Arabidopsis thaliana: one gene and its partners. The protein of the gene in region 1 interacts with the protein of each later gene in a pairwise test. Each region holds a gene or a part of one and is shown in the gene's direction. Other genes may lie near its edges.

Evidence for each region.
Region 2: the proteins of KRP2 (region 1) and CPR5 interact in a two-hybrid assay, tested with the Arabidopsis thaliana proteins (one study listed by BioGRID).
Region 3: the proteins of KRP2 (region 1) and CYCD3;1 interact in a two-hybrid assay, tested with the Arabidopsis thaliana proteins (2 studies listed by BioGRID, with this or other methods).
Region 4: the proteins of KRP2 (region 1) and AT1G55890 interact in a protein complementation assay, tested with the Arabidopsis thaliana proteins (one study listed by BioGRID).

What each region holds. Positions count from the first base shown.
Region 1 is NC_003074.8:18,796,403-18,803,772, forward strand, and holds KRP2 (KIP-related protein 2), read left to right. Parts: upstream 1-3,903; 5' UTR 3,904-4,105; coding exon 4,106-4,432; intron 4,433-4,508; coding exon 4,509-4,570; intron 4,571-4,654; coding exon 4,655-4,822; coding exon of another isoform or gene 4,823-4,826; exon of another isoform or gene 4,827-4,891; coding exon 4,892-4,964; 3' UTR 4,965-5,193; downstream 5,194-7,370. UniProt on the Arabidopsis thaliana protein: Binds and inhibits CYCD2-1/CDKA-1 complex kinase activity. Regulates cell division which is crucial for plant growth, development and morphogenesis. May regulate early lateral root initiation by blocking the G1/S phase transition.
Region 2 is NC_003076.8:25,942,777-25,951,843, reverse strand, and holds CPR5 (CPR5 protein), read left to right. Parts: upstream 1-3,446; 5' UTR 3,447-3,522; coding exon 3,523-3,909; intron 3,910-4,469; coding exon 4,470-4,526; intron 4,527-4,631; coding exon 4,632-4,667; intron 4,668-4,744; coding exon 4,745-5,959; 3' UTR 5,960-6,161; downstream 6,162-9,067. Other genes in the region: ATH13 (ABC2 homolog 13), read right to left, coding at 1-3, 105-174, 314-387, 493-562, 665-744, 830-940, 1,152-1,250, 1,391-1,491 and 4 more; CIP8 (COP1-interacting protein 8), read left to right, coding at 6,502-7,506; AT5G64910 (Serine/Threonine-kinase), read right to left, coding at 7,730-7,816, 7,920-8,051, 8,120-8,167, 8,255-8,317, 8,384-8,422, 8,508-8,584, 8,716-8,774, 9,028-9,067.
Region 3 is NC_003075.7:16,354,111-16,362,520, forward strand, and holds CYCD3;1 (CYCLIN D3;1), read left to right. Parts: upstream 1-3,310; 5' UTR 3,311-3,792; coding exon 3,793-4,266; intron 4,267-4,355; coding exon 4,356-4,557; intron 4,558-4,666; coding exon 4,667-4,797; intron 4,798-4,870; coding exon 4,871-5,194; 3' UTR 5,195-5,455; downstream 5,456-8,410. Other genes in the region: AT4G34150 (Calcium-dependent lipid-binding (CaLB domain) family protein), read left to right, coding at 925-970, 1,077-1,181, 1,289-1,415, 1,507-1,578, 2,268-2,313, 2,399-2,708, 2,808-2,845. UniProt on the Arabidopsis thaliana protein: Involved in the control of the cell cycle at the G1/S (start) transition. Activates the G1/S phase transition in response to cytokinin hormone signal, but declines in response to sucrose starvation leading to G1 arrest.
Region 4 is NC_003070.9:20,897,884-20,905,839, forward strand, and holds AT1G55890 (Tetratricopeptide repeat (TPR)-like superfamily protein), read left to right. Parts: upstream 1-3,359; 5' UTR 3,360-3,480; coding exon 3,481-4,677; 3' UTR 4,678-4,917; downstream 4,918-7,956. Other genes in the region: AHG2 (Polynucleotidyl transferase, ribonuclease H-like superfamily protein), read left to right, coding at 1-476; AT1G55880 (Pyridoxal-5'-phosphate-dependent enzyme family protein), read right to left, coding at 1,409-1,631, 1,740-1,975, 2,080-2,469, 2,565-2,708, 2,876-2,950, 3,060-3,257; TIM50 (Haloacid dehalogenase-like hydrolase (HAD) superfamily protein), read left to right, coding at 5,280-5,589, 5,827-5,924, 6,104-6,140, 6,228-6,289, 6,379-6,492, 6,661-6,765, 6,856-6,954, 7,047-7,203 and 2 more.

The sequences.
Region 1 (7,370 bases):
GTGTGATTTTGAATCTGTTATTAGTATTTTGAAAACCTACATTCAACGATACGTGTGATGACTCCACAAAACACGACATGTTTCTTCATTTGGATAACTGGATCTCATATCATTCAAACAACCTTTTTATGGTTGACCAATCATTCATTAGAAGATGATTATATATATGTTATACGTACCAATAATGTTGATATATTTCGTAAGCTAAATTAAAGCAAGGCATGAAAGTTTATTTTCTTTTCATTACATAAGAAAAGGTATACGAAAACCACGTGAATGATGCATTTTTCCATGTCTTTTATCAATTTTTGATGTAAAATCATCGAAGAAGAAAGATGAATCAGCTTTACATATCAATTCATATGATAAAATTCATGAATCTCCTTTCGGAAAGAGAGTCTTTGTAGGGTAATTGGAGGAGCCTTGGGAAATCCATGGGGAGAAAAAGAAAAAGTTCGACTTGAGAAAGTGATCTGCTTTCTTTCCCCACTATAATTGAGTTGCGTGAATAATGTTTAAAAAGTATACAAAAACACATTACTTTATTTCTTTTTATTGATTAGAAGAGAAATATAACCTTTTTCCCTTCCGTTAATTAAATAAAGTTGTCGTCAGCTTTCTTTGGCATATGAAGTTATGAACTTTATTTAATAAAATGTTTGTTTTTTTCATGTGTTGCCTAAAACATAAATCATCATTCTCCAGCATAAACTCGAACATGCATGGACACAAGAGCTTAGCCTTGAACACTCCCAAAACCAATTTTTTACGAACTTAGACTTTAGGTAAAATTTTAATTAATGCAATTTGATAATATTCTTAATGTGGACCTTTCTTAGTAAGTTTATGAGTCAGAGTAACGTTAAAGTTTCCAAATTCCAATCATTCATTGACTGCTTACATATAATGGGGAAGGACATGTTCATTACTACAATTTAATCTTCTTAATTTCTTGTGAAATAGACTTCGTACTTCATTTTTAAAAAGGAAAAAAAATGAAATTAATCCTGTTTTTCTCTGAATAGTTAGTAGTTTATCAACTTATTTCTTTTCTGTTTTGTCTTTTACGGTAATTAAGTCGATCTTGTTTTATGTTCAAAACTTCAAATACTAAATACATAAATACCATAAGAACTCTTGTCTAATTCATAAAAGGACATTATTGGGGTCGCATAAACATATGTAAATCAGATCGAGAAATCAGAATATATATACATTTTAGCTTGATCAATTTAATTAATGTTTTAGTTGGGAATATATTTAGCCTTGCTTTGGGTCCACCCACCTCCATCAATTATCATTCTTTTATCTTTTTGTTTTGACAATCCAACAGTGGTTGTGAATCATGTGGTAGCTTCGCACCTATACATGATCCCCACAAATTGAATTTATAAATTACGTTAATCTCGTAAGAAACAGACAAAACTATGAAATGTCATATAACTAAGGTTCCATTCTTCGATCAGATAAAATAACCAAAAAAAAACAAAAAAAAAACTACACTCGATCACGCAAGTAACAAAAAAAAATGTGAAGTTAAAGGTTTTTTTTTACTCAACATAATACTTTACTACTTATCACTTTACTCGTTAATCAAACACTCATACTAACGACTATTTTAAACTTAAGCCATCTTCAAATTTTAGAAATGGAGAAACGGCAATTTTGCTTCGCATTTTGGTCTACACTATATACGGTTTTAAGTCATTTTGCTGTATTTTTATGTACTCAAGATTAAACTGCATTCTTCTACACTATAATTGTAAATGATTATGAAACTCTGAATCAGTGACTGTCTTTTTGATATAACTGTAAGAAAACGATAGAAAGTGCTTTGGAGACTTTTTTTTGTTTTGTTAAAGGGTTTAAGTGCTTTGGAGACTTGTAGTAACATTTATACGTGATTACAAATTGTGATCATGATATAGACTTTATGGATTATAAAATTTCGTGCCCACACAATACAAATCACTAAAGATCCCATGTGCCCTTGTCTGCATTCACTTAAGTCTTTTTCGTTTTTATTGGATATCTTTTCCATCTAGAAAGATATATTTAGATGTGTTGCAATTTCACTTTTCATGATAGGCACAGTCTTTATGTATATTTGGATAAAAACTGGGACATATCTAAAAGTAATGTTTTACGATAAATACTATCACAATTTAAATCGAAAATTATCCTTCAAAACGAATATCAATATGTATTCATTGAGAGATTTTAAAACTTAGGGATTCATTTGTTGGTACTAGCGTTTAAGTTTTCATAATTAAGAACTACGGATGTATACATAGATATATGATAATTTTATTTTCGTAGTAATTGTTATGATAATCTTTGTTCTTTTGAAGTCAACAACATATATTATGCGAATTTTTAAACTACATTATATGTTTAGCTCACTATTTTATTTTGAATATCTCATAAGTATGTATATATACTTACACATTGTTATAGTGAGTGTAAAAAAGAGAGAGACAGTTTAGTAATGATTGAGTATGCAGCTCGTGGGCACATTATTAAATTGAATGGTATGATGGATATGCGCAGACACTGTCTTGTGTGAACTCAAGAATCGATACAGAACGACGGCATTAAAAAAAAAGAAAAAATTCAATATAAGACGAAAATGATGATGGAAAAAAATTCTTTTATTTTTACCAACGAAATGTATGCGATATGAACTAGTAGTATTTAATTCACTGTGTGAATTAGTAGTAATATTTAAGCATGTGAATATGTTTGTGTACGTATTGTATTGCCACAACAAAACAGCATGTCGCAGCATTGATTTCATTATCACCTAACCGTTAAATACGTCATGGCCCTAGACTTAATGTATTTTAGACTTAATGTATTTTATACCTTATTTTGATATGTGTACGGTCGACCCCCTCACAAAATTGAAATATTACGACTATGCATTGAAAAACTATACACAACTACATTGTCAAATACTGATAAGATCTTAACACAGAAACACATATTATCACTAATAATGTAACGTGACAACATTACATTGCTTTACACACATTTTTTTTAATCTATTTAAGATGATTGGATGATATTGTCATTTTTCTCTATAAATCTAAGATTTTTATTGTCTTTATAATCTAAATTCGCAATTATTACAACAAAAAATTATCAAATCTAAATTTATTTTTAAAATCCACGATAATTATTCTCATTCTATTTCATTGGAAACACCAACCAATTATTTTAAAAAACAGAAAACATATTAATTAAAAAATTGAATTCAAATTCTATTTACCATTCTAAAAAAAAAATTATGCACTGATTCTGTAAACGTTGACACCGTTAACGTAGTCGTAGATATGCACTGATTCTGTAAACGTTGACACCGTTAATGTAATCACATCGAATAAAAGACATATGTTGATCGTGTAAAGGTATAAGATACTCGATCTATAACATCGTTGTCAAATTCCATGTTGCATATACATTATATTGCTTTACACACATTTTTTTATCTATTTGATCGTCTGTGAATTAATATGATAATTTGATGGTATTATTGTTATCTTTATAATATAAATTCGTAATTATTATAACAAAAAATAAACAGTTTTATCTTAATATCCACAATAATTATTTTCATTCTCGTTGATTTATTGGAAAAGCCAGCCAATTATATTAAAATAAATAAAAACAACATATTAATTCAAAAAAATTTGAATTCAAAAAAATTTATCATTCTAAAGTAACTAGATATGCACTAATTGCACTGATTTTGTAAACTTTGAAACTATTAATGTAATCGTAACGAATAAAAGACACGTATCAATCGTGTAAGGTATAAAATACTCGATTTTTAACGGCGCCGTCAAATTCTCCGTTACATATTAAAAGAATTACTATTCCTACTTCACACGAGGCTTTATATGAAAATGACAAGAGTTAATCGTGGCCGTTAACAAATTACGATCAAAACGAAGATCGTCACCATCTTATAACAGAATAACCCAAATGGTACGCGAGCTAGAGACTCTCTAGTAGAGAGAAAGAGAGAGAAACACAAACACGCACACATAACGAGTGATTTTAGAGAGAGATAGAGATCTGGAAGGTGACGTCGTAGGAGATTATGGCGGCGGTTAGGAGAAGAGAACGAGATGTGGTTGAAGAGAATGGAGTTACGACGACGACGGTGAAACGAAGGAAGATGGAGGAGGAAGTGGATTTAGTGGAATCTAGGATAATTCTGTCTCCGTGTGTACAGGCGACGAATCGCGGTGGAATTGTGGCGAGAAATTCAGCAGGAGCGTCGGAGACGAGTGTTGTTATAGTACGACGGCGAGATTCTCCTCCGGTTGAAGAACAGTGTCAAATCGAAGAAGAAGATTCGTCGGTTTCGTGTTGTTCTACATCGGAAGAGAAATCGAAACGGAGAATCGAATTTGTAGATCTTGAGGTGACAACGAAAGCATTATTTATCGAAACTGAATTTTGATTTACAGATTTTGAAATTTTTGAATTCGTTTTTCCAGGAAAATAACGGTGACGATCGTGAAACAGAAACGTCGTGGATTTACGATGATTTGAATAAGAGGTTTGTTTAATTTGTTACAGATATTAAAATTTTGAATCAGTAACAAACATTTCTATAAAATGTCTTTGATTTTTTTGTGTATAGTGAGGAATCGATGAACATGGATTCTTCTTCGGTGGCTGTTGAAGATGTAGAGTCTCGCCGCAGGTTAAGGAAGAGTCTCCATGAGACGGTGAAGGAAGCTGAGTTAGAAGACTTTTTTCAGGTGGCGGAGAAAGATCTTCGGAATAAGTTGTTGGAATGTTCTATGAAGTAAGTTTTTTTTTTTTGATTCAAATCTTTTAATCGAATTTTTGAAACTGATAATGAATTTGTTGTTAGGTATAACTTCGATTTCGAGAAAGATGAGCCACTTGGTGGAGGAAGATACGAGTGGGTTAAATTGAATCCATGAAGAAGACGATGATGATAATGATGATCATTGTTTTCACCAAAGTACTTATTATTTCTCTTCTGTAATAATCTTTGCTTTGATTTTTCTTTTAACAAAATCCAAATGTAGATATCTTTCTCTCGAATAATCAATAACATGTAATTCAACTTTTGTTTGTACTTCCTTGAGGTAATTAATTAGATTCGTGTTTTTCTCGATTAATAAACTATAAGTTTATAACTCTAAGAGTAATTATAATTGTTACTGAAAACTAAATAGCTTCTATTATTTCTATGTATCAATTATCATACAGTATTTGATTTTTTTTTTTTAACAATGAAAAGAGAGTGTAGAGCAGAACAAAAAAGGGTCACGGCTGACGTGGTAAAGGAATATAACTGTTTATTGATCAGGCTTTTTCAGTAAAAAAGTTACTATTTTATTCTCACTTGGATTGGATTGTAGGTGCTACTCTAGTGATTAACTACGAACTTGTTTGTGCTTTACAAGTTATTAAACTAAAATATTGTACTATCTCCTTGCATTTTACAAATTTAGCTATTTGAAATTATATATTTTTTAAAAATAAAATAGCTTAAATATACACTTCCAGTTTTTCCCTCTCAATTTCTTTCAACAAAGTAACTATTTTGAGTTGTATTATTTTATTTTCCTAATTTATCTATCTAATATAACATGGATATTAGATATGGTTGGTGTACCTAACGCCTATAATTTATACTCGATTAGCAACAACCAAAAAAAAGAAGAAGAAGAAGAAGAAGTTGAGTCATTTAAATCTCTGTAAGAGAAATGATTTACGGTCTTTAAAAACTAGTCCTGGACCAAAAAATGGACCTAAAGATCAGAACTTATTTGTTTAGAAAAATGAAGTTAGAATGAAGTTGAGTCATTTAAATCTCTGTAAGAAAAATGATTTACATAGTTAAAGCTACTCCTGGACCAAAAAATGGATCTAAAGATCAGAATTATTTGTTAAAAAAATAAAAAATACAGATAGATATGATTGGTGTTTATTTCCGGGTCGCTTTCTACGAGTAAAGAAATGGTCAATCACAAATCTTTTCATACCAAACTCTGCCATTATTACATAACTCTCTTAATTTCCTAAACCAAGAATGGCTTTATTATTAACTTTTTCCTCCTTTAATTTTGGTCTCTCCTTTTCTACGGAGTACTTTTTTTTGTTTGTCATTATTATCACTCTTACTTTAAAAATACTAGAACTCAAGATTCAACGAGAAAATTCAGAGGTTATGATTAAAATGTTTAAAACTGTCGTACTGTACTGATCGGTTAAAGAAACTGACACAACACAAAGATGCGAGAATGTACACTAAAACCCACGAGGCAAAGATTTTACTCTTTTCTTGTTTCTTCTTTTTTGTTTTTGTCAATAAGTGGTAAAGAGAGCTGGAGTCTTTTTCTCCACTTGTTCGTTTTTATGAGTTGGACTCTACGGGCCCAATATAGAGATTCCTTTGTCAATCTTGTGTTCCACAGAACAACAAGTCCCTTTAAAATTATTCTGAGCCCATTCATATGATCATATATCTTCCTTACATTATTATTTATATACAAAATTTCGAGAAACTGAATTCTATTAGAATTGGATCTTTCTTTGCTTGTTCACAATTGACAAAAGCTTGTTTCTAATACCATACGCATCTTTTATTGATTAAGTAATTAAACAGAAAATTTATAAGTATTGTTCTTTTCGAAATATGGTGATGAACTGATGATGATATACATTTTGATCTTAGTACATTTGTTCAAACAATGCAGTACATTTTTTTGACTCAGGTCCTATATGTTTCATTACCTATTTAAAGTGCATCATCATATACATCACCAATGATAAGTTGATAACTACTTATAACGAGAGTAGTCACTGTGTTAGTAATTAAGTACCATGTTTCTATATACTTTGATCATCTGATAAACAAGTGTTCACAATCAGGTTTCTATTCCTCCGGTTATCATCTTCAAGGGCATAGATCGAGTAACAAGAAACATAATCACTGCAAGACATAAGCGCAAACGATTCCGCAACTTGATGCAACTTTGGATACGATGAATCTCTTTCATCCATTTTCCTAATTATTTTGTCTCCTTGTTTTATCTTTTTTGCCAAGGATACAAATTTAAGGGCTCCTACTTTGTAAAGCCAAACCTTTTCATTTTTAATGATATTAACATTCATAACAAAAAAAACAAGTGTTCTTCAACTTCATTTTCAACGAATGAGAGGAATAAATACTTCAGAACAAGTCCTCACGCACATACTATTTTGATTATGCTAAATACACTAAACCATCAAATTAAAGTGGGAAAAGAAGTTTAATTGGTCGATATGAATATATGATAATAAGTGGTACGTGAGACAAGTGCATGCAGACAACTTAT
Region 2 (9,067 bases), on another chromosome or scaffold:
GACCTGCCACAAGAAGGTTAATTCATATATATTTAAGTATGAGCTCAGGTCGTATGCGGCATGTCGGTAGAAGACTGAAAGTGAGAACACCTTAGAGACTATACCTTATCTGGATCCTTTTCATAGACGCCATAAAATGCCTCCAACAAACCTTCTCTAATATTTGGGCTAATACTGCAAGTGTAAAACACGTTGTACAGAACCATAAGTTTAACAAGTTGATAAAAGGAGATCACATTTCTTCACCATATTGAACCGAAGCAGTTTTTCACATACTAACAGAGTCATGTTGTAGCATAATAAAATGTAGTACCTTCCCATCATTCCAAAGTCGTAAAATATCAGCCGCCCGCCATTGACATCATCAACTGCTATATTCCCAGGGTGCTGCAGAAAGATACATAAGCAAATTAGATTGTAGTCTTTTCGTATTGGTACACCAAATTAAAGATTGTTGACACTTAGTGTAAAAAAAAAAGGATAGAGACTTACAGGGTCGGCGTGGAAGAATCCATGAGATAAGATTTGCTCCAGGTAAGATTCAACAGCATATCTTCCTAGCCTGCATTGTACCAAGTTATCAATCAACAACAACGAAACTATTTTGGATTCAAAGAGAAATAACAAATATAAGTCTGGGAGGAAGATGTAAGAAAATACAAACCTTTTTCGATCAACACCTAACTGATCTAAGGCTTGTATCTTGTTAATCTTAATCCCAGGGACATACTCCATTGTCAGGACCTGCAAAGAACTCAATGCATAACTATTGCATTCGAGCTTAAGGCTTCACAAATGGTGAACTAATGGTCATAGGTAATAATAATACCTGAGGTGTAGTGTATTCCCAGTAGATGGATGGAACTTTTACATACTCTAAGTCTTTGAAGTTATTAGCAAACAACTCCGAATTAGCTGCTTCTTTTGTGTAATCAATTTCCTGAAAAAATATAGCACATTGTTATTACTGCAGTAGTTAGAGGTCACTCAAGTTGGGATACAGAAAGGAAGATTTGACTGAGCTTCTACGCAAAGGACAATTAGCAACAAAAGCACACTCAAAATCAAAATCATTTTCCTTTTTCTCTCCGGTAAAATGGTCCAAAACTTATTCACAAGAAGTGATAAAACATTAAACCACATCATCATACCTGGTACAAAACACTGGCACATTCATCATAGATTGCAACCCAATCTCTCTTTGCACCATCTGATTTTGGGTCCACCTTTTGGAGATACTCAGCGATCACCTAAATAGAAGCATAACAAAGTCATTGACTCAGCAGAACATCATGCAAATAGCTTCAGAAGAGCGGATAAGAAAATCACGAGATAAGGACGCTTGCAACATGGAAAAGCTCTATAATGACTGTGGTATAGAGACACTAACCCTCAAATTCTTAAGGTCAATATCAAAGAGATCCTTCAGACCAGGTCTCTGTACTTTAAGGACAACCTCTTGACCCTTAAGTCTTGCACGGTGAACTTGCCCTATATGAATTAAAAACAAAAACCATTAATTTTATTATCATCTCTTGCAAATTTATGAGAAGATTATCACAAAGACGTTTACCAAGACTAGCTGCAGCTATAGGTTCATAATCAAAACGGTCGAAAATGTCCTCAACAGAACCTCCAAGCTCCTCTTCAACAATGGATAAAGCTGTAGCAGAAGGGAAAGGAGGAACTTGATCCTGCAAAGCATAAGATCATAAAACTTAAAAAAGAAGAGCCTCACAGGCCACAAGTACAAATTCAAATAGAATAAAAAGAAATCAAACCTGAAGTTCTGACAATTGATCAACATACTCTTGAGGAAGAATATCCACTCTAGTAGAGAACTGTTGCCCAATTTTGATAAATGTAGGACCTAATCTCAAAATGTTTTCTTTCAACCACTTAGCCAAAACCTTCCTTCTTAAAACCTTCTTCTCTTCAGTCATTCCCCCTTATACACATGATTTTTCAAGAATTTAGACAAAATGAGAATCGTCCTAATCCTAGACGTAAGCAAACAAAAACAAGTATCAACCTTTATAAGAGAACTTCTTATTGCTTAACCAAGTCCTGAAAATAAACTGTACAACAAAACCCCAAATCTCCAATGTTCTTTGAATAGTTGAGTAAGTCTTGAATCTATTCCATCGACCACCAGGTGTAACAGAAACCTGTAAAACAATATTAAAGTAGCAAACTTTCAAGGAATTGAATCATTAAACAAAACGATATTGATTAAAAGTACATTACTTTATACCTCAACTTGTTTTTGTTGAGTGTTGTTCTTAAACCAAGCATCCTCTTGACCAATATCTTCTACTCTCTTCTTCCTCACTTCTTCTTTTCTCTTCTTTGTCACTTCCTCCGTTTCCACCGTTACACTTCCGTTCACATACTTCACCAAACTACCGTTACCGTTCAAACGAGCACTTCCGTTAAAATCTCCGTTGACGGATTTTCTCGCAGAGCCGTTACCGTTTAAACGTGCACTTCCGTTGTAATCACCGTTGATCTTCACTGCATTATCACGATCTTCAACAGCGACATTATCGTCTTTAGAAGCTCTGATTAATCTCGTACGAATCCGGAGATTGTGATTGTAGCTTAATCGGTTTCTGGGTAAGAAGATCCCGGCGATTGAAACGGAACGAGTGATTGTTGGAGATTGTCTTGAGTTGAAATTGATGTTTGGTAAAAGCAGAGACGACGATGAAGAAGAAGAAGTCGCCATTGATGGTAATACTTCGGAAGAGAGATCTCAAGTTAAACCCTAGTTTCTCATGGATTATTTGCGTACAAGAGATTTTGAAGAAGAAGAAGAAGAAGAAGGTGAAGACTTGTTGTTTGTTGGCACTTTGCAGTGAGAGGTTTTTTGAGGTTCATGACGAACCACAGAGAATGTTAAAAAAAAAAATTATGATAAAATAAAAGGGGTGGATATGAAAAGGACACGTGGCATAAGATGAGATTAGTGAAGGAGATGTTCTTGTGTTTTGATTGGTTGTGTTAAGACACCTCATCGTGTTATTTATCGGAGCCACAAACATTGTGCGATTTTTTTTATTGTTCCTTTTTCCAAACACTTTTATGGTCCATCTTCAAACCAAACTGATTGGTTCGGTCCTAAACTCGACTACTTGGTATGTTAATCTGGTCCTAAGCTATATGTATGACTTTTAGTTCAATTAAGTACTGAACCGATCCTATTCATTGAACAGAAAGCACCTAGAAACATCAAATTATCGCTAAAAATCGAGTAAACATATTATTACCTATTTAATTGACATTAACATATACATTGTATAATTTGAAGAATTCGTTGAACTTACAAGTTAATTCAGATATTTGGTCAAGTATTTTTCCTATATTAAGCTAATTATGACGAATTTTTAAAAATACAAATTAAATCAGAGGAAAAAGTTGGAAATTCGAAACTTTTCACTAGTCACGAAGCGACCAAAGTCTTACAACTTAAATACTTTTCTCAAAGTTGCAAATTTACCCCATAAGTTATATTTTAAGGCTATGGAAGCCCTCCTCCTCCCTCCTTCGCCGGAACCCCAAAATCAAATCACCAATCCGGCGAATTCAAAGCCAAATCATCAATCTGGTGACGTACATAAAGATGAGACGATGATGATGAAGAAGAAGAAGGATACGAATCCATCGAATTTGGAAAAGAGAAAACTCAAGGGAAAGAAGAAAGAGATTATGGACAACGACGAAGCTTCTTCGTCCTATTGTTCTACATCTTCTACCTCTAATTCAAATTCTACTAAAAGGGTTACGAGAGTGGTTCATAGATTACGAAACCCTATGCGGTTAGGTATGGCTCGACGAAGCGTTGGTGAACGACAAGCTGAAAAATTGGCGAAGCCTCTGGGCTTTTCACTTGCCGCTTTTGCTAATATGGTTCGATCAATTTCCAAACTTTGATCTTTATTGCATCACATAACTGTTTTGATACGAAATTGGCTTTGCTGGTACGGGTTGTTCCTATAGTTGACCTTGCGTGAATACTAGGTTTTGGTTGTGTTGAAAGTTTTGATCTTTAGATAGTATTAAATACAAAGTCTTTCAATTTAGGCTTTGTTGATTCAAAACTGGACAGAGGAGAGGATCTGAATCAGAGTCAAAAGGATTGAATCTGAATTTTCTTCTCTCAGTACTTGCGTGAATTCTTCACCCTGAATCGAAGAGAGGATCTTCTCCTCAAATTATAATCAGAGTCAATCAATAGAAGCTGAAGTTCTTCTTGGGGGTCTCTATGATCGAGCTTCAATGTAACATTGCAAATTTATATTGTCTTCTCTCTCACTTGCCTTAAAGCTTGAGCCTTTCTAGTTTCTACTCGGATTTGTAGTTCTGATTGTGATTTCACCAAATTTCATCCTACCTAGCCGCCAAAGTCATTGACTTGCATATGCTCTGTAGTTCTTACTCTGTTTCTACTCTGTTTTATTGTTCTCTAGGTTATTGCGAGAAAGAATGCCGCAGGTCAGAATGTTTATGTTGATGATCTTGTTGAGGTAAGTAGTATGAACTTCAAATGATTTCTTCTCAGTTTCTGTTCAATCTTTCTTTTGCCATCGTTTTGGTAGTGATACAAGAACTTCATTGATTATGCTCTCCAGATCTTTGCTACTCTTGTCGAAGAATCATTAGCCAATGTAAGCTAAAATCCCCCTCTATGTTTTCCGCATTTTTATATTTATAGACTTTCTGATTCATAATGTTGTGGTTACAGGTTTATGGTAATAAGCTTGGTTCCTTTGCGACCAACTTTGAGCAAACATTCAGCAGTACTCTAAAGATCCTTAAATTGACCAATGAATGTGCAAATCCACATCAGTCAAACAATAATGATGGTGGGAGTTGTAATTTAGATCGCTCTACCATAGACGGATGCTCAGACACCGAGCTATTTGAGAGGGAGACTTCATCTGCTACGTCTGCTTATGAAGTGATGCAAGGCAGTGCAACAGCAACCTCTTTGATGAATGAGCTTGCCCTTTTCGAAGAGACTCTACAACTCTCTTGTGTCCCTCCTAGAAGTTCAGCAATGGCTTTGACCACAGACGAAAGGTTTTTAAAAGAGCAAACACGAGCAAACGACCTAAAGACCGTGGAGATTGGTCTTCAAATAAGAGAGTTAAGGTGCAAAGAGACGGCGCTAGGATTAAAATTTGAATCAAACAACCTGGGGAAAGCGGCGCTAGAGTTGGATGTTTCGAAAGCTGCATTCAGAGCGGAGAAATTCAAAACCGAATTAGAAGATACAAGAAAAGAAGAGATGGTCACAAGAATCATGGATTGGCTCCTCGTAAGTGTCTTCAGCATGTTGGCTTCTATGGTACTTGGCGTTTACAATTTTTCAATAAAGAGAATCGAGGATGCTACCTCAGTATGCGACCAATCCGAGGAGAAAAGTTCGTCGTGGTGGGTTCCTAAACAAGTTTCATCGATTAACTCAGGCTTCAACACCTTCATCTGCCGGGTTCGAGTTTGGGTGCAGATATTTTTCGGTGTGTTAATGATCATTGTCTTCACTTACTTTCTAAACAAACGATCATCAGGTACGAAGCAGACAATGCCGATAAGTTTCATCGTTCTTTTCCTCGGTATATTTTGCGGTGTATCGGGTAAATTGTGTGTGGACACATTGGGCGGTGATGGCAAACTCTGGCTAATAGTTTGGGAAGTGTTTTGCCTTTTGCAATTCGTTGCAAATGTCTTCACATTGGCTTTGTATGGTCTAATGTTCGGTCCTATAAACGTGACTCAAGAGACCAGATCGAACCGTTGTAACAGTATGTTTCCATATTGGGCAAGGCGCAGTGTCGTGTATGTGGTGATTCTGTTTGTTCTTCCAGTCATAAACGGTCTTTTGCCATTTGCAACATTTGGTGAATGGAGAGACTTCGCTATGTATCACCTTCATGGTGGGTCTGACTATGCTTGAGACGAGGAGGCCATCTTTGTATTGTAATTTATTGTAACGATTTGGGTTTTTTAATCTTATTTTATTTTATGGGTGCTGTTGAAACAATTGTATCGCTATTACAAAGTTATGTATTCGAGTTATATGTTTGTATTGTTGTCAAAAGAAATTAAAATTATGCTTTTCGATATGACAAAATTTCATGGGTCAAATGGTACTTTATCTTATCAAGTTTTTGGATAAAAGTGCAAGTCAGTTTTGATTTGGAAGCTGGTTTAAATTGGATTGAACAATTTGATTTTTATGTTTGACAGCAATTGAACAGTTTGATTAAATTGTAAGTATTATGAATTTATGATGATGGTGATATCATATATAGAAGAAAATATTATGATATTGTGGGTGGGTCAAGTGGGTAAATGAGCAGGATTCTCTAATGTCTTAAAAATTCGATAATAATAATACAGAGAGACCTTTTTCTTTTATTTTCTCCATCCTCTTAATCGGCTTATCGGATCCGAATCCGGACCCGAAAGCCTGAAAACCCGACGATTAATTGCACGATGTCCGATGCTCCGTCGTCTTCCCCGGATGCCACGGCGTCGCACTGGTGCTATCACTGCAACAAACGCGTCGTCGTTGAAACCTTAGATGACTTTGTCGTGTGCTGCGAATGTAACAAAGGTTTCGTCGAGTCAATTCAACCGACTCCCGCCGCTTATTCATCGCCGGCGCCACCGCAGCCACTTTCCCCAGATCTGAATGTAGAAGACTCCAGTATTGGCTCGCATTTCCTCCAGATGCTCCGCTTGTTAGCCCACGCGCCTTCTCAGCGTTCACCACCACGACACCTTGATGTTTTATCTTACGAAGATGATTTCTTCAGGTTGGAGCTCAATAGTAGAAACGAAATCGACGATGACGAAGACGAAGATGAAGATGATGGAGATGAAGAAGAAGAGGATGAGGAAGAGAATTTAACCGTCAACGACGAAGAAGACGAAGAAGATGATCTGAGGAGGAGAAATCGTTTTCCTCTCACGACGACGCAGTCGAGAACCGGAAGAAACAGAATTCTCGATTGGGCTGAGATTTTGATGGGAATCGAAGACAATTCGATTGAGTTCCGTATGGAATCAGATCGATACGCAGGAAATCCGGCTGATTACATAGACGATGCAGCCGGATACGAAGCTTTGCTACAGAATTTAGCAGAAGGAGATGGTGGTGGTGGCGGAGGAAGGAGAGGCGCACCACCGGCTGCGAAATCGGCAATAGAGGCATTGGAGACTTTCGAGGTTAGTTCTTCGGAGGGAGAGATGGTTATGGTTTGTGCTGTGTGTAAAGATGGAATGGTGATGGGAGAAACTGGTAAGAAGTTACCGTGTGGACATTGTTACCACGGAGATTGTATTGTGCCATGGTTAGGAACAAGGAACTCTTGTCCTGTCTGTAGATTCCAGCTTGAGACTGATGATGCTGAATATGAGGAAGAGAGGAAAAAAAGAACTTCTACCGTGTCAGATTCTGCTGCTGCTTCTTCTTCTTCTTCAACTTCTCGTTACTGAAGTGGAGGAAATGCCCCCATTTGTTGTTACTTTTGTTGTTACTCTTTCTCTTTAGATTAATCTTTGCTTAGTCTCTCAACACTATTTGGTTGGTTGCATGTTGCATCAAAGAAGCGAGAAAACAGAGAACAAAAAAAAAAAATCCGGCTCCAAAAAGACAATTGTTATTTGTAAGTGTGTTGTATCTTTGGCCTAAACAATCCCATAGTGGTTTCTTTGATTCTCAGTTGTTCATAAAGTTTGCCGAAACAAAAAGGTTCCTGGGTTTAGGAGAAACGGTTACAGGACTTCGTGAGCCTTCCCGAAGTACCTGTTTATGAACGGGGACTGCACAGAGACCAACAAACTTATATCAGATTTTGGCAATAATATTCAGAGTTCCATTGACAAACTAAGTTGGATTTGTTTTGTACCTTCTCAATTCCTGCAGTGTGGGGTGTGTCTGGTGAAGGCAATGGATAAAACTTGTACAACCTCATTTCTTGATAGGCTTTTTTTGTTTCTTCGCTCAGTCCTTCCTTTGCTTTCTCTAGGGCTTCTTGTGCCTGCCAATTGTAGAATCCATTGTTAAGTATATGTGCGGCTCTGTAGCAGAGGGTATGAAACATGATACCGTGTCATAAGCTGCCATAGCTTTGTCACTTTTCTCTTTGACAAACTCCTGAAAAAAGGAAACATATGGGTGAGTGATTTTAGAGACCTCCCTCAAATGAATTCATCAAATCAATTCCAGCTCTTGCTTGCTTACCTCGAACGCAACCTTTTGTTCCGGGAGTAATACCTCCTCATTGATCAGACTGTCGGTGAATTCCTAAAATAAACTGAGATGAGAAGTAATTCAAGTAAGGTGTTTTATTGGAAAAGTCAGATACTGCACCTCAATGACGCTTTTCACCCAGTCATATTCACATTCAACCTGCACAAAGGAAAAGTAAGTTTGATTAAAAATGAAACTACCAAATTGTATTGTCGATCAGTTAAGAAAGACAAAAATAACTTACTGGTGGCTCAGAAGGGAACATTATTTTAACCACAGTGCTCTTCTCAGAGTCATCAACCTTATATGGGTTGTTGATGTCTGCAAATCATAGTAAAACAGTAATATTTACAGTATGATGTCTAGGGAAAACAAATCTCAAGCAAATGAAAACATGGTACTGAGAATATAACATCAATAACAACCAGCTAAGCATCAAAATTAGAGCTCACAAGGAAGGCAATAGTTGAACTTTTTAACACGATCGTCAGGCAAATGTTTGAGAGCAGACCTGCAAAGAAAATATACAAAGCTAGGCTGAATACACCAAATTCTGCACTCGTTAAGTTACTGAATGTGAATGGGAATGATCGAAGAATGCAAAGTGTTGCATCACGTTTTCAGATAAAGCTATCTGCTTCAAAACCATATGTAATGTAATTCTTTTTCCTCTACAAAGCGAATGAACAAATCACGTCTTCTATAACTTCCTAACTTGCATGGTAACAAGACATTGGGAGGAAAAGATACCACAGAGTATTTACCTTCTCTGAGTACAGCCCAAGATGAAAATTGGAAAGTTCT
Region 3 (8,410 bases), on another chromosome or scaffold:
TATAACAAGAGAGGTTGCAATAGGTAGCTAAATTTCATCTAGACTTGTAAGAGTTGAGAATCATTTACTTGCTGATTTTGAGAAATAGAATGAGAAATCGAAGTACCAAGCAATAGACAAGTTGGTTTCGATTTTTATTGGACCAAGCAATAGAACTGTATCAAGAAAACAACATATCGGATTTATGGTCCATTTTCTCTTGGTCGACAATTTTTTGAAATGGCGCGACGTTGAACAAAAATTATACGAACAAAGAAAGCTATTTCCAGGTTACTGCCTTTATATTTGGATGACTTGTTCCAAGGGGAAACTTTTTTTTTTTTTGTCTGTCATCTGATGATATTAGAACTTTCAAAGGAACCAAGATGATTGCAACAGCTACACTGTAATCTATAACCATCATGCCATTGGACGCATCCTAGTAAATACATAAGAAAGACACTCCCTTTATTTTGGTCTCCGTTCTTCAGCCACACCTTATAATATCATCCACAAGATAATAAGTGGTGTCTAGCAAATAACAAAGCGAAGCTATATCTATATTTATTTACTTATTGATTGTCGTGAATCTATCTTTAATGGTGACATGCCATAGAATTATCACTATTGTGTGGTTGTGCTTGTAATTGTTTGTAAAAATTTTGATTTTATGAATCAAAGATTATCAACATCTAGACTTTAATAGTTAAGGAAATAATAATATTTAAAAAACGCGTACCTAAATCTAATGAAAAGTCAAAATTACGGTCAACGCCTTACGAGACGCGTCTGGTTCTTGAAAGCAAGTTCTGCGTTATTTCATCATCAATCAAAGTCGCCATTTTATTTTTATTTAAAGTCTCACGTCACGGAATTATCTCTCTGAATTCATCATCTTCATCATTACCTTCTTTTTCTCAATCTCGATTGTTTTCTTCCAAATTCATGTCGATGATGGCGGGTATACAAGGCCAGATTCTCGAGGTCACTGGTTCGTACCTTTCTCACATCCCCAATTCTATTATGTTCTTCAACCTTATCTATGATCCGTTGAAATGTTAACTTTTAAAATTTCTGGGATTCTTTTGATTTGTCAGTTGTTGGGTGCCAGAAATTGAAAGACACGGAATGGTTTTCAAGACAAGATCCATACGTCGTCCTTGAGTATGGTGGCAGAAGTCACCGTACCAGAACCTGCACAGGTTATTTTTAATACCACCTCTTTTATTCATAATTTGTTCAGATCCAGAAAAAATTGAACAAAGTTAAGATCTTTCAATGAATTTGATTGATGGGTTTGTTTTTTCAGATGGTGGAAAGAACGCTGTTTTCCAAGAGAAGTTTATCTTCACTTTGATTGAAGGGCTTAGGGATCTTAAGGTTGCTGTCTGGAATAGCAACACTCTCTCCACTGATGACTTCATTGGCAATGCAACGTATGTGTCACTTCTTATCATTGCCTTGTTATGCTTTTTAATACCCGCTTTGGATTTGGAATTGAGTCTTTTGTTGTTTGGTTGTTATTAGGATTCAATTGCAGAAAGTTCTTTCTCAGGAATACGACGACTGTACCTGGACTTTGCAGAGTAAAACTGGGAGGTAATTACATTGGCTTTACTAGTTTTTGTTCCTTTTCCATTAAGTATCATGTTTGGTAATCTCGATTATTGCATGGTTCACATTTGTCTAGCTGATTTTGGTGCAACTTTTTGATGTGGTTTCTACTATATAGTGCTTGAATATATAGTTTCGCCAGTTGCTTTGCTTTGCTTTGCTTTGTTCTTGTCATTTACTTACAGTGCTGACATGGTTTTGCTCACTGATCAGAGTCGTTATGTGTGTTTTTGTGTCCTAAATTGTTAATCTGTGTGAACTACTTGTTCGAATGTTCTGTTTCTACATTGAGCACACTCACAATTGATGTAGCATTTTGATTAGGTTTCTCTGGAACTTATGAAAGATAACTAGACATTTTGACATAAATGGAGCTTCTATTGTCTGTTGTTAGGTTACCTCAGTAAAGAGATGTGAAGTTGCGTTTAAACATTGTAGCATCAAATTAGAATTTCTTAAAACTGGTCTCTTGAGGTATTCCATTTTTGTTTTTGAAAAAGAGAAAGTTATGTGTTTTTTAATCCATGGCTATGTGTTTTGTTTTCTTAAATTCCTGGAAAATCGGTTACAATGTGCCAAGATTTTGGTAGCTTGTCCTCAGCGATTGCTCCTTGTAAAAGATTACTTTTTTGATTAAAAGCCTTGTGAAAAACATCAACCTTTCTGTCTTGTAGATTCGCTGGAGAAGTACAACTCCTACTGCATTATGCGGGAGCAAAGGTAAGTCGAGCCTCAATTAGCAACATTGGTTAACATGTTCCATTATAAACAAAAGGCTAAACACACAATCCACTCTTGTATGCAGAAACATAATTACGGGTCTGCGCCATCAGCACCGTATGCACCTCACGTACCTCAATACTCAGCACCGCCTTCTGCATCTCCGTATTCAACAGCACCACCATACTCTGGACCATCTCTATACCCACAAGTACAACAATACCCTCAGCCATCAGGATACCCTCCAGCTTCAGGGTATCCTCCTCAGCCATCTGCCTATCCACCTCCCTCAACCTCGGGCTACCCTCCGATCCCTTCAGCTTACCCACCTCCTCCGCCATCCTCAGCTTACCCTCCTCAACCATACCCTCCGCAACCATCATATTACCCACAAGGTACCTTCCTTTCTTTCCTGTTCTATGCTGCAATTGATCGCATTTGCTTGTCTCTAACTATAGTCAGTGGTGGTTGATCTTTTTTCTTCTTGTTTCCAGGTCCATATCCAGGACAATACCCACCTCCTCCATACTAGAGCGTTTGGCGTTTAGAATTTGACGGGAAGTGGTCATGATGTATAGATTATAGTTATGGTGTTTTCTAGAATTTGGCAGACGAATTTCTTTGTTTTGTTTTTTTTATATCATCTTCCTTGTGCTATTGCTAGCGTGATGGTTAATTTTTGAGTTGGTCAGTGAAACTTATTGAGAAGTTTGGATCTTTTCATGTTTAACCAGATCGCAGATTATATTGAATTATTACTCTAAATCCTTGGTTTTGTGTGTTCATCATCCTCTTGAGTTAAAATTATGTTAAAAACAAAAAAAGGTTTTGGTTCTGTCTTTAACTTTAAGAAACGGAACTTATCGGCGTATAATCATCGCACTTGTGATCAGATGCAATTAGAAAAAGGTTATTTGGTCAATGTATAGCAATATCTTTAGGTTCTAACAAAAACATTATTGTTGACAAATAGCCCAAAAGTAGTAGAATTTAGCCGACAGATTTTACTGCACTTTGGTTTCTCGATCTCTACTCCAAATGAGTAAAAAGTGGGTAAAGCGGGAAACAGCAAAAGAAATCACACATTTAATAAAAAATAAAGAAAAAGAAATTCCACATTAAATAATCACAACAAGAAAAACAAATAATATATTAGTAAAAGACAAACGTAAAAACCATCTCTCGGCCTTCTCTCATAAATCAATCTCTCTTCTTATCACTCTCCGAAACCCACTTCCAGCTTTTTCCTCTCTCTTTCTCTCTCTAGTCTCTCTTTTGTAGCTCTCCCCTGCTAAGCTAACCACTGCACGTTTCCATAGAGAGGAAAGATGAGTCTCTCTCCGAGAGATTTTCTCTCTATCATCTTATCTTCTTCCGTGTAATGCTCTGAGCCAAAACCCAATAACTAAATCAACAACAATATAGAAGAGAAGAGAAAGATCTTATCTTTCTTCTCATTCTTGAGTTTAGTCCCCCACAATGGCGATTCGGAAGGAGGAAGAAAGTAGAGAAGAACAGAGCAATTCGTTTCTTCTTGATGCTCTCTACTGCGAAGAAGAGAAATGGGACGATGAAGGAGAAGAAGTTGAAGAAAACTCTTCCTTGTCTTCTTCTTCTTCTCCATTCGTTGTTTTGCAACAAGATTTGTTCTGGGAAGATGAAGATCTGGTTACACTCTTCTCCAAAGAAGAAGAACAAGGACTCAGCTGTCTCGATGATGTTTATCTTTCCACGGATCGAAAAGAAGCTGTTGGTTGGATTCTGAGAGTCAACGCTCATTATGGCTTCTCTACTTTAGCAGCTGTTTTAGCCATAACTTATCTCGATAAGTTCATCTGTAGCTACAGCTTACAGAGAGACAAACCATGGATGCTTCAGCTCGTTTCTGTCGCGTGTCTCTCATTAGCTGCTAAAGTCGAAGAAACCCAAGTCCCTCTTCTTCTAGACTTTCAAGTAAATGATGATACTTGCAATAAATTTCCTTAAAGTTTAAGTCTTTTATCCCTCTGTTCTCATCTCTCTGTTTTTTTGGGGGTTTGCAGGTGGAGGAGACAAAGTATGTGTTTGAAGCAAAAACCATACAGAGAATGGAGCTACTGATTCTGTCTACTCTCGAGTGGAAGATGCATCTCATTACTCCAATTTCGTTCGTAGACCACATTATCAGGAGATTGGGACTTAAGAACAATGCTCACTGGGATTTCCTCAACAAATGCCACCGTCTCCTCCTCTCTGTAATCTCCGGTTCGTAAACGACAAAAAGAAAAAAGCCACTCCATTTCGTTTTACCATCTGCTGAATCTGAGTAATCATCTTACATTCTTGTCTTATCTTCCTCAATTGTCTTTGTCAGATTCAAGATTTGTCGGGTACCTCCCATCAGTAGTTGCCGCAGCTACCATGATGCGAATTATAGAGCAAGTTGATCCCTTTGACCCTCTTTCATACCAAACTAATCTCCTCGGTGTCCTTAACTTAACCAAGGTTAGCTTCTCTAATCATCTCTCTACTTGTTTTCACTCAGTCATTTTCTCAAACAACTCTCGTGCATTAACAGGAAAAGGTGAAAACTTGCTACGATCTAATCCTCCAACTACCAGTGGACCGCATCGGTTTACAGATCCAAATCCAATCTTCCAAGAAACGCAAGAGTCACGATTCATCATCATCGTTGAACAGTCCAAGCTGCGTGATTGATGCAAACCCTTTCAATAGCGACGAAAGCTCAAACGATTCGTGGTCAGCGAGTTCGTGCAACCCACCAACGTCGTCGTCGTCCCCGCAGCAACAACCTCCATTGAAGAAGATGAGAGGAGCTGAAGAGAATGAGAAGAAGAAGCCGATTTTGCATCTGCCATGGGCAATCGTAGCCACTCCATAATCGAAAGCTCGATTTCGTTTATATGATATTTACTGTTTTTTTAAACTTTGAGAACAATCTTTGTTGTATTAAGCTTTACCCGTTTGCATATACGAAATGTCGCGAATGCCCTTACGTGCCATGGCTTGATAGAGTTAATGGGTAAAGGGTATTCATGACATTTGACTGCATGGGATGTGACGAAGGAGAGAATTAGAAATAATAATAATAATATTGCGTAAATTTTGAGGCTTGCCCAATCTTTGGGCCGTAATCTCCGGCGTTATTCATATTTTATTAATGTTTTATATTATGAGTAGTAGTATGTTCTAAAATCTGCTTTGCTGAAGGAAATAATAATTACATACATATTCTTTTACTCCTGTAGTTTAGGAAAGAAAAAAACGCATTTAAATCCGTGCTATTTGATAACTACATTTTTTTCGTCCAGAATGGTGGATAATACAAAATTTAAGAAATGAGATGTCACAATGTTTTAATATTTGAATGAGACTGTTGTGTTTATGATCGAAAGTGAAAGATTTAGCGTTTTTAGCTTTGACTTTTGGGAGAAGAGCCAATTGTTGCTGCTTTTTTTGTCAGTCTTTAAATATAATCGCTTTCAAAGATGAATCAATAATTAAAATTTTAAAACGGAAAGACAAAAATGAAAACGTAACACTATATTATTGCTTTAGATTTTTTGTCTAAAGTCTTGTCAAAACCTGCTCTACACTATATTATTGCGTATCAAATAACTAACTACACATGAACATGTAAGTTGTCGAAAATAACAACATATAATTATAAATGTTTTTAAAAATCAAACAGCGAAACTTAAATCAAATCTACAGAGTGTAGATCTTTCGTTGACCAGTAGATAAATTAACTGCGACAGACAGACACAGGACAAGAAGGAGGAAGTGAAGTAAACGCGCCATATATAGGTGAGTGTTGTTCGACGACGATAAAAATGTGGTGCAGCATTAGTAACAACACCAGAACCAAAGTAACCTGCTTCCACTCTGAGCACCTGGGATTAAGACACGTGGCAAAAAGTATCCAGCGTTACTATTCTTTTTTTCTTTTAATAACATCAAATAATCGTCAATTAATTACGAAAATTGAAGATATTAAATTTAACAATTTACTATTATAAAATCCCTTTTGTATCACGGAAAAGCTTATATGATAATGCGATTGAATCACGAGAAATTGATTTTTTTTTTTTAAACAAAACTTTAGGTTGTGTGAAAATCTTGGCTCCTTCTTTTACACTTTTTCTTTTCCAATTTTATTTTCTCTTTGGACTTTTTATTTATTTATTTTCTTGGCAATAAAAAAAGAGAATTTAAATCTATAACTTTTTTCACGTGTGACACGAATTTTCTACTTTGGGGGATTCAGATTCATCGTTCTTTTTCCTTTATATTCTCAATTTCATTTCGCTACTTAGAAAAAAAACGAATTGCTTTAGCTGATGTCGTTTCTTAACGCTCAGCCTCACGTCATCAAAGCATTTAAACTCCCCTCGTTCATGTAATCTTACATTAATACGTATGCGTAATGCGTTTATGTATTGTTTAAAACAAAAGATCCGTTCTCTAACTTCAACTAAAAAGTTAACATCCATGCATATGTATTAGAATATCAAATTAAGCACAAATATTAACATGTTAGCAAAAACATGACTCTTTATTTCTACAATATGTATATCGACTTTTAATCACAAGTTTACTGGCTGTAGAAAATAGGTATATTTGTGTATATACGATTGAAAGTGTTCATATATTATATATATGATATGTTTTATTTTTGCCGTTGTTCTTGAGCAACTATATGCTAATATATATAGGAAGAAATAATATATTCTTCTTATTATTCTTATTTTGTATTTTTAAAAATAATATTTTATAATTTGCAGAAGAACGGGAACAATGTGATATATCAAAACTGAACAAATAAAAATACTGAAATTTGAGTAGTTAATCTAATAAAAGAATCTCTAGTGCAAAAACACTGGTTTAAAATTAAACAATTAAGATGATATATCAAAACTTGCATACCAAACTATACAAAAATTATAATCGGCCACATGCATTACTATAATTTTATGATAACATTTGAAAATCTGGAGTAGGGCATGTAGCTACATAATTGATGAAAGGTGAAAAAGGATGTATGTGGAAATCGGGAGGTTTTCAAAATGGGAGACCAAAAAATCTTTGTAGTTATTCGTTTTCTTTTACAAATTTCAAATAATAAATATGTTGTGGAGAATGTGTTTTCTGTCCTTTTTTTTTTTTTTTTTTTTTTGTCTCTTCTAATGGTCTTCTCCTCTTTAAGGTATGTTATCAATATCATGGTACCATACGCATCTCGTGAACCATATAATGACTTGCCATAAATTATTTATTTCCTGAAACAAAGATAAGATGAAAAAGAGATTACTTGCTACGAAGAAAATAAGTTCTTTTAACCAAAAAAAAATTGGTCGAAAAAAAAAATTCTTCACATCTATTTACAGTCTTTACTTTTGGGTATAATATATACTCTTCTGGACCGAATAATTCATTCCCTTCCCATTCCATCCCATCAAATAAATGTGAAACTATTCTTAGTCAGCTTTGAATTTTGGTAGTTTTATTTTTAATTTTTAATTAATAGGTGTTAAAATCGATGCTTTTTTATTGAAGAAAACTCAGTTATTAAAAAAAGAAATCAAAATATATTTGTATTGGTAAAAACAAATGAAAAAAGTTTAGAAAAAATGGGAAAGGAAAACAGCTTGCACCCAACATGGAGAAAGGGCAAAGAGGTCAATGTGTCCCCACAACAATAATTATAGAATATTATTATCATTCTCAATGGCTTTGTGACCTTTATATCTTAAATATTTCTTCTTTTGACCTAGTCTCTTCCCTTTTTACTTCCACTCTTCTTTTTTTCTTTTATTGTAATTTGAAGTGACGAGAATGTGTGTATGGTCAAAATGTTATACCGGGGAGAAGATTACAATACATCAAAATTTGTTACAGAACTGCTGCATATGCTTATCAGTATTCTCTGAGAAATTAAGTAAGTTAAGATAAATCACAAGTAGAGTAAACTGTGGAAACACTTCTAATCTAGCGATTCATCGATATGGTTTAACATTATCTCTTACGATCGATTTACTTCACTAATTAAGTGAATGTCTTTTTTTTTTTTGCTTAATAGTCGAAAAAAGTTTGAAGT
Region 4 (7,956 bases), on another chromosome or scaffold:
TTGTCCTCATCTGGAACTTCCCACGAAAACTTAAGGCGAGAGGGATCAAAGAATGCATATGCAAAGCCTTTGGCTCTGCTTCTGTCACCTCTGTCTACCACGTGGACGACTCTGCGGTTTTTGTCCTGTTTAAGAACTCAGAACTTGTCTGGGACTTCTTAGCACTCAAGCGGCAGCTGGAGTCAAGCGACGGTCCAGTCTCAGTTCTTCACCCTTTATCCAAGATCCTTGAAGGAGGAAACACTGGAGCTGCAGACTACGAAGCATACAAAGAGATTTGCAGCTCACACGTCTCAGAGGTCATGTTCTCTGACCAAGCTGAAACAGTTGGTGTCAAATCAAGAACAAGACCCAACGCACAATGCGAGACTGAGACAAGAGAGGAGAACACAGTCACTGTGACTCACAAAGCATCGGATTTGATTGATGCGTTTTTGGCCAATAGAGTTGAAGTCGAAACTGCTACGAGTAATTAACTATGCCATCTAACATTTTTTTTGTCAACGTGAAACGCAATAATATAATACAAGATAATATGTTTTGCGATGACCAAAATTTTGATAATGAAACATATGAAATAATGTGCGGATAAAACATCTAGAACTATCAGTACTAATAAAGTCAAACAATTGATCTGTTGGAGATGTCAATCTCAATCAAGTTATCTTCTGCTTCAAGTTCTTCCCAAATCTCCATGATCATCATCTCCTCGTAATAATCTTCTCTACTCAGCCAACGTTTCTTCACACTCTCCAACTTTGCTTCTCTCACCAGACAGATCTCTATCAAACCCTCTTCTTCTTCATGTAGGTTGGTTTCCGTTTCCAGACTTTTAAGCTCCTCCTGATCATGACGATAAGATTTGGATTCCTTGTTACACACGGCAATCGTGTGGAGAACGTTAGAGAGAAACAAGATTGGGATCATGCATAGATTCTTCAAGAAAGAAAGTGATAAGATCAATAGTGTCTTATTGACTCCATTTCTTGCCATTATTGGGATCATGAGACCTTACACAACCGACTTATTTATGGAAAAACATGGAAATCTATGTTTATCAACACTTTTGAGTTTTCCAGTCTAATGCATTGAACATAGACAAAATCTAATAGGTACAAAGACAAAATCTGAATACATGTTTCCCATAATCTTGTAAGGGGCCCCATTAGGTCGGGACTTGTAAACAATTGAGAAGACAGGTGTAAGATGCAGTTATGGGAGTTTTAGAGGTCAGACACATGCATTGTTGCATTGACATTCTTCCGTTGACTCTAGACATAGTTGTTGTCTTCTAATCTGAAGTCTTACCAAGAATATATCACCCTTAGTCTAAAACATAATCAAAACAAAACCACTGCAGACCACCCAGGCTTGATTGATCTGAAGATATTGTAACAGATTTGTAGTTTCACTTTATGCCGAGGAACTCTAATCCGATAGCGGTTGGACTTAACCCGTATAAATTCAAGTACTTAGGGTCGTGAAACTTGCTTAGATGTCTCATTCCGCTATCACAAAGAATGGTGACAATTGTGTGACCAGGACCAAGGGTCTGAGCCACCCTTACTGCCCCAACACAGTTCATAGCCGAGGAGCTTCCAACAAAGAGCCCATCATTCTTCAGAAGAAACCTGGGAACATAATATAGTGAGAAAGATATCAAGATCCAACTTTTACGAAATCTTTATCAGTACTCTCTAAAACAGTTATGTCAAAACATATAAAGGAATGAGCACTACCTCGACATCTCAACCGCTTCTTTATCAGTCCCACGAAAACCACCGTCAAGTTTTGCCATCAGGAAGTTTTTAGTAAGCCTGTTGATTCCGATCCCTTCTGTTATTGTATCAAATGGGTTCTTTAGCCGACGCCCTTCAGCTTCTTCTCTTGTGTACATCACTCCCCGTGTTACTTTATTGTACAGACCAGATCCAGGAGGATCAATCAGAAAACATTTAACTCTTTCATTCTTATCCTGTATAAATGCACCAACAAGTTATGAGTTTTTCTTTTGCTTATAACATCCACGAATTACTCATTCTTACATCTTTGATTAGTATAAGCCCTGAGTAATTATACCTGAAGAAACCTTGAAACACCAGCTAAAGTCCCGCCTGTACCCGCAGCAGCAACAAAGGCGTCAATATTACCCTGAGTCTGGTGCCAGATTTCAGGGCCAGTACCTTCATAATGAGCCCTATAATTTGCCAAGTTTTCAAATTGATCTGCAAAGAAGCCACCGGTAACTGAATCTGAGAATAAGGAAGGCTCTTTCACTTCCTCAACCGTGCAACCATTAGTTTTCTCCTGGTGTATGCCATTTGTTTCGCTCCCTAGTCTTCTCTTTGATGCTAACTCGTTTGCTTCGTCAGCCCGTCGCCTCGCAATGTTGACATAGTGATCCTTGTGAGTTATTGACACTGGCCTCACTCTCTCAACAGAAGCTCCAAGGGCTTCAATTATTTGAGACTAAAATAAGTCCAACACGATACAAATTTGAGTGTATGTACAATAATGCATACAAGGGAATTTGAATCATCATCAAGGTATTTAAAAGATATAACCTTTTCAATAGCAGCATCATCAGGTATAACAACATGACATTTACACCCATAAGCCGGAGCAACTGTAGCAAGGCTAATGGCAGTACTTCCTGCACTACCCTCAGTTACAATTCCTCCAGGGAATAGCTTACCAGATTCCAAAGCCTAAACAGAGAAACAAAAAAAACATAATGGACTTGCTTCTCGATTTCAAAAACCACTAATATAAATAGCCAAGCTGATGATTCAATCACTGACATTGTTAAGAGAGGTTTATGATGATCAAAAAACTTTTAAAAGTTGAAACCTTTACAATGCTAATCATAGTGTACCTCTTGAATGATCTTGACAGCAACTCTATCTTTAACACTACCTCCTGGATTCAAAAACTCGCATTTCCCAAGAATCTGATCACCAGACGAAACAAGTAGAATGAAAATTACATCTTTAACTCATAAATCACACTATCAGTTCGTCAGACCAAACAGAAAATAGCAAAAGAACATCGAGAAAAACCTCACATCCAGTAGCCTCAGAGAGACTATTGATACGAATCAGAGGAGTATTGCCAATGGCATCAACAAGCCCGTTTCTCATAGTCAACTTCTCCTTCCTCTTCTTCTTCTCGGAGAGACGGAAAAAGAAGCTGTAAGAAGTAAGCATCAACAACGCCGCTGCTGCAACAACAGCGCCAGTCATATTAACAGGCGCCATTGAAGCTCAAGCTCGCCTTCTCCCGTAATCAAACCGGTGAAGTAAAATTAGGTCGTCGGCAAAACAACACTATTTCTATTATTTGTTATTCTAGCCCCCAATATTTCCTTTAGTTAAAAATAAGGCACTAACATTTTTTAAATTATCAGATGCGTCCTTCATTTGATTTGTTCTTAAACTCGTCTCCTGAAGGCTGAAACCCTTTGCTCTCACTCCCAAAACGATGTCGTCTCTATCTCGCGTTCTCCGTGGCACCTTCAACACTTGCCCGATCCGCCGTTTTTCCTCCGCCGCCACCGTAGTCTCCGAACCCACCGCAGTCACTGCCGCAATCTCGCCTCCTCAAAAGTCACTAACCAGTCTCGTGAATGGCGAACGAAACCCCAAACGGATCGTGGAGAAATTCAAGAAGGCATGTGAGTCGGAGCGGTTCCGGACCAACATAGCCGTGTACGATAGAACCGTGCGCCGTCTCGTAGCCGCAAAGAGATTACACTATGTCGAAGAGATTTTGGAGGAGCAGAAGAAGTACCGCGACATGTCAAAAGAGGGATTCGCGGCGAGGATCATTTCTCTGTATGGAAAAGCCGGCATGTTTGAAAATGCACAGAAGGTGTTCGAAGAAATGCCAAACAGAGACTGCAAGAGGTCAGTGTTGTCCTTCAATGCCTTGCTTAGTGCATATAGACTTTCCAAGAAATTCGATGTGGTTGAAGAACTTTTCAATGAGTTACCTGGAAAGTTATCAATCAAACCAGATATTGTATCTTACAATACTTTGATTAAGGCATTGTGTGAGAAGGATTCTTTACCTGAAGCTGTTGCATTGCTTGATGAGATTGAGAACAAGGGACTAAAACCTGATATAGTTACATTCAACACACTTTTACTGTCTTCGTATCTAAAGGGACAGTTTGAGCTAGGGGAAGAGATATGGGCTAAAATGGTGGAGAAGAATGTAGCAATAGACATCAGGACTTACAATGCTAGGCTGCTTGGATTAGCCAATGAGGCGAAATCGAAAGAGCTAGTAAATCTCTTTGGAGAACTTAAGGCTAGTGGGCTCAAACCTGATGTTTTCAGTTTCAATGCTATGATTAGAGGATCTATCAACGAAGGAAAAATGGACGAAGCTGAAGCGTGGTACAAAGAAATTGTGAAGCATGGTTATCGTCCTGATAAAGCTACCTTTGCTTTATTGCTTCCTGCTATGTGTAAAGCAGGTGACTTTGAGTCTGCGATTGAGCTCTTCAAGGAGACATTCAGTAAGCGGTATCTTGTCGGTCAAACAACGTTGCAGCAGTTAGTTGATGAATTGGTGAAAGGGTCTAAGAGAGAAGAAGCTGAGGAGATTGTGAAGATTGCAAAGACCAATGATTTCTTAAAGTTGAAGCTAAATTTGCCGTCCCAGGAAGAGTAAGTCATTTGCTACTCTCTCACTAAGTGTCTCGTTGAATTGTGTCTGAGCAGCTTAAGCTATATGTATTTGCTGGTGTTGCTTTGTGGCTTTTCTACTTCTCTAAACTTTCCTCTGTGGAAGTAAGACTTGTTTCTTTCTATGTAGTTTCGCTTATTTCACTGGTGCAAAAAACAGCATGTAGTCGAGGTTTAGGCAGAAGAAACCCTACAAATTTAATAAATTTTGGTTATTTGTTTTCTCTTTTTGACACGAATGAATTTATTATTTTTGTTGGAAAAATATTTTCATTTTATTTGGTAAATAAATAGTGTAAAATAACTTCATTAATTAGTTATTAAAAGCCCGAAATGCAAAAATAAAATAAAATAGATTCTCTTCTTGGTAAACAAGTAAAAAAAACAGCAAAAAAAATAGAAAAATATCGGAGTAGAAATAAACCGACTACCAAACAGTGGATAAGAGAGTTAAAACGAGCCCATAAAACCTGTTTCCAAACAGTCCATCTGTTAATTTTCCTTTTCTCCGATCAATTCCAAAACCCTACTTCAACCCTGCGATTCATTCATCATTCACAGAGTTTGAAGAAAACGCCGAAATCGGAAATGGCGTCTATTGTTCTTCGATCTCGCCTGTTGCCAAGATTAGCAAAGCTCAGATCTCGTAATCTGAGATGTTTCTCTGCGGAAGCATCTTCGACGAATTCTACATCTAGGTATTCGGGAGTCACCTCTACCCAGTCGATGTTTTCTGATTTTCCACCGCCAAATCAGCCGCCACCTCCTCCTCCTCCTCAAGTGGAAGCTGCTGCCGCGGCTGCGACGGGAAAGGAGAGGAAAGGTCTTAAGTATCTTGGTTACGCACTCCTCTGGGCACTCACTGGTGCTACCGCTGCTACTGGTTACGCAAGTTTTGGTATGTACTTGCATTCATGAATTATCTTTTTTCCCTCTCGTAGATTTCTAGTACAAAGTTGTTTTTGCTGTGAAATGCGAGTAAAAATGTGTTATGGTTTGCTTAATCGTGGCATTGCATTACATTTTCACATATCAGTCTTTTGAATTCAGTGTTCTTCACTTGGTAGAACTGTGTCTTTCTTCGTTATGTTGACTCTTTTTAGTTCTGATTATACTTGTTTGTTTCGTTATGCAGCTTACACGATAGATGAAGTGAATGAAAAGACTAAGGCGTTCCGAGAATCAGCTACGAAGACACCAGTTATTAAATCTTCTGGCATTGATGTGATTGATGTGAGTAAGCTTGGTAGCCTTGAGTCGCTGTCAAATTAATGTTGATCATAACTTGCTTCTGTATTAGTTGACTTTCTTTAGTCTCTGGCTTTCAAATGCGTGCTGCCATGTTTCTCTGCTTCAAGGTATTGTTTATAAGCTTCTCTGAATTAATACCCTTTATACTCATCTTTCTGCAGAAATATCAGACTAAGTTGTACTCTGCTGCAATGACAGGTATAGTTCTTGCGCCTCTGTCATCATAACTAATAGTATGTCTTTAATTAAGCATAGCATGAGTTGGTTTGCTTGAATTTTGATCAGGTTCTGCTAGAGCCATTGATAAGTATTTAGAGCTTAGGGAAATTGTGGAGGAACAAGTGAAAGTACGTCCTTTCACCGAGACACAACTTTTCTTTTTCTTGCATCTTCTTTTTTCTTCTAGAATTCTTATTTTTTGTCTGGTTCCTTATAGGGCTTCACGGAACCTCTCTCGGAAAAGCTTCTTCCGGATCTGCACCCCGCAGAACAGCATGTCTTCACTCTAGTTCTTGATTTAAATGAGACACTGCTTTACACTGACTGGAAGGTAACATTTCATTTATTTACTGATCATCAAAATACTTGCATCATAGATGTGAATATGTGACTCAGAGTATCTATGTTATGAAACAAAGCAGTTCTGGTGAACTACTTTGTTTTCTTAAGTAGTGCTGTATTTAACTTTTCCTGCCTTTTCATTTACAAAAATGTCTAGCGGGAAAGAGGGTGGAGGACATTCAAAAGACCAGGTGTCGATGCATTCTTGGAGCATCTTGGGAAATTCTATGAGATTGTCGTGTATTCTGACCAGATGGAGATGGTAAAGTCCCAATTGGTTTTTCTTTTTTCTCCTTTTTTGCTTGTAATATCATAGTAATGCGACTACTAACGCTTGTTTCATTACTTGTAGTATGTACTCCCGGTCTGTGAGAAATTAGACCCAAATGGCTACATACGTTATAAGCTAGCAAGAGGCGCTACTAAATATGAAAATGGAAAGCACTATAGGGTACGTAAGCAGCTAGCTTATCTTGTCAAAGCATACTTTCTGACTTGCCCGAGTAACTGTTTCTCAACTAACTATTAAAATTCCTGCTGCAGGATCTGTCAAAGCTGAACAGAGATCCGAAGAAGATTCTGTTTGTTAGCGCAAATGCCTTTGAATCAACCCTTCAGCCAGAAAATAGCGTGCCAATCAAGCCTTACAAACTAGAAGCTGATGACACAGCCCTAGTTGACCTGATACCCTTCCTTGAATGTAAGTATTGGTGAACTGAGGGATAAGTTCTGTTCCAGTCCGTGAACTGCCTGTATCAATTTTGTTTGGTTGATCTTCCTGTTTGGGTTATGCAGATGTTGCACGTAACAGTCCAGCAGACATCAGACCGGTTCTGGCCTCTTTTGAGAGAAAAGATATTGCCAAAGAGTTCATTGACAGGTCCATAGAGTATCAAAAGTGAGTCGATCAGAGCTTTTTTTTTACCCTATCGTATCAATGCAAAATCTGTTGGTAGTGTCCCACTAAGAGTGTCATATCTCTATGCAGGCGAAAGCAAGGACAACTGGGACAAGGTCGATTCTGGAGGCGTTAAAGGATCTAAGATTTATGTATAGAGCGAGAGACAATTATATCATCATTGATGGTGCACACCATAAAATAGGAACATGAGCTACCGTTCTTCGCTATGGATTTATTAGGTAAAATCCGAATTAAAATACTGTCTTTGTCATCAAAGAGTTTTTATGTTACCCAATTTTCCTCGTCTTTCTCTCTGCTTTACATAGAAAATTTCTATGAGAACGAAAAAGAAATTATCATATGGAAGGTTCATTTTTCGTTGACTAACAAATACCGTTTTTTTTCTCTGATTTATTTTTACTTGGTTTGACAAATGATTTATGATTATGAACTTTGAGAAATTATTGGTTGAAACGTCAATTTGTATGTATTGCTAAAAAAAAGAGTAAATTACCTTTTCTAGTACGCTTAATATTTATCTGTCTGTTTCAA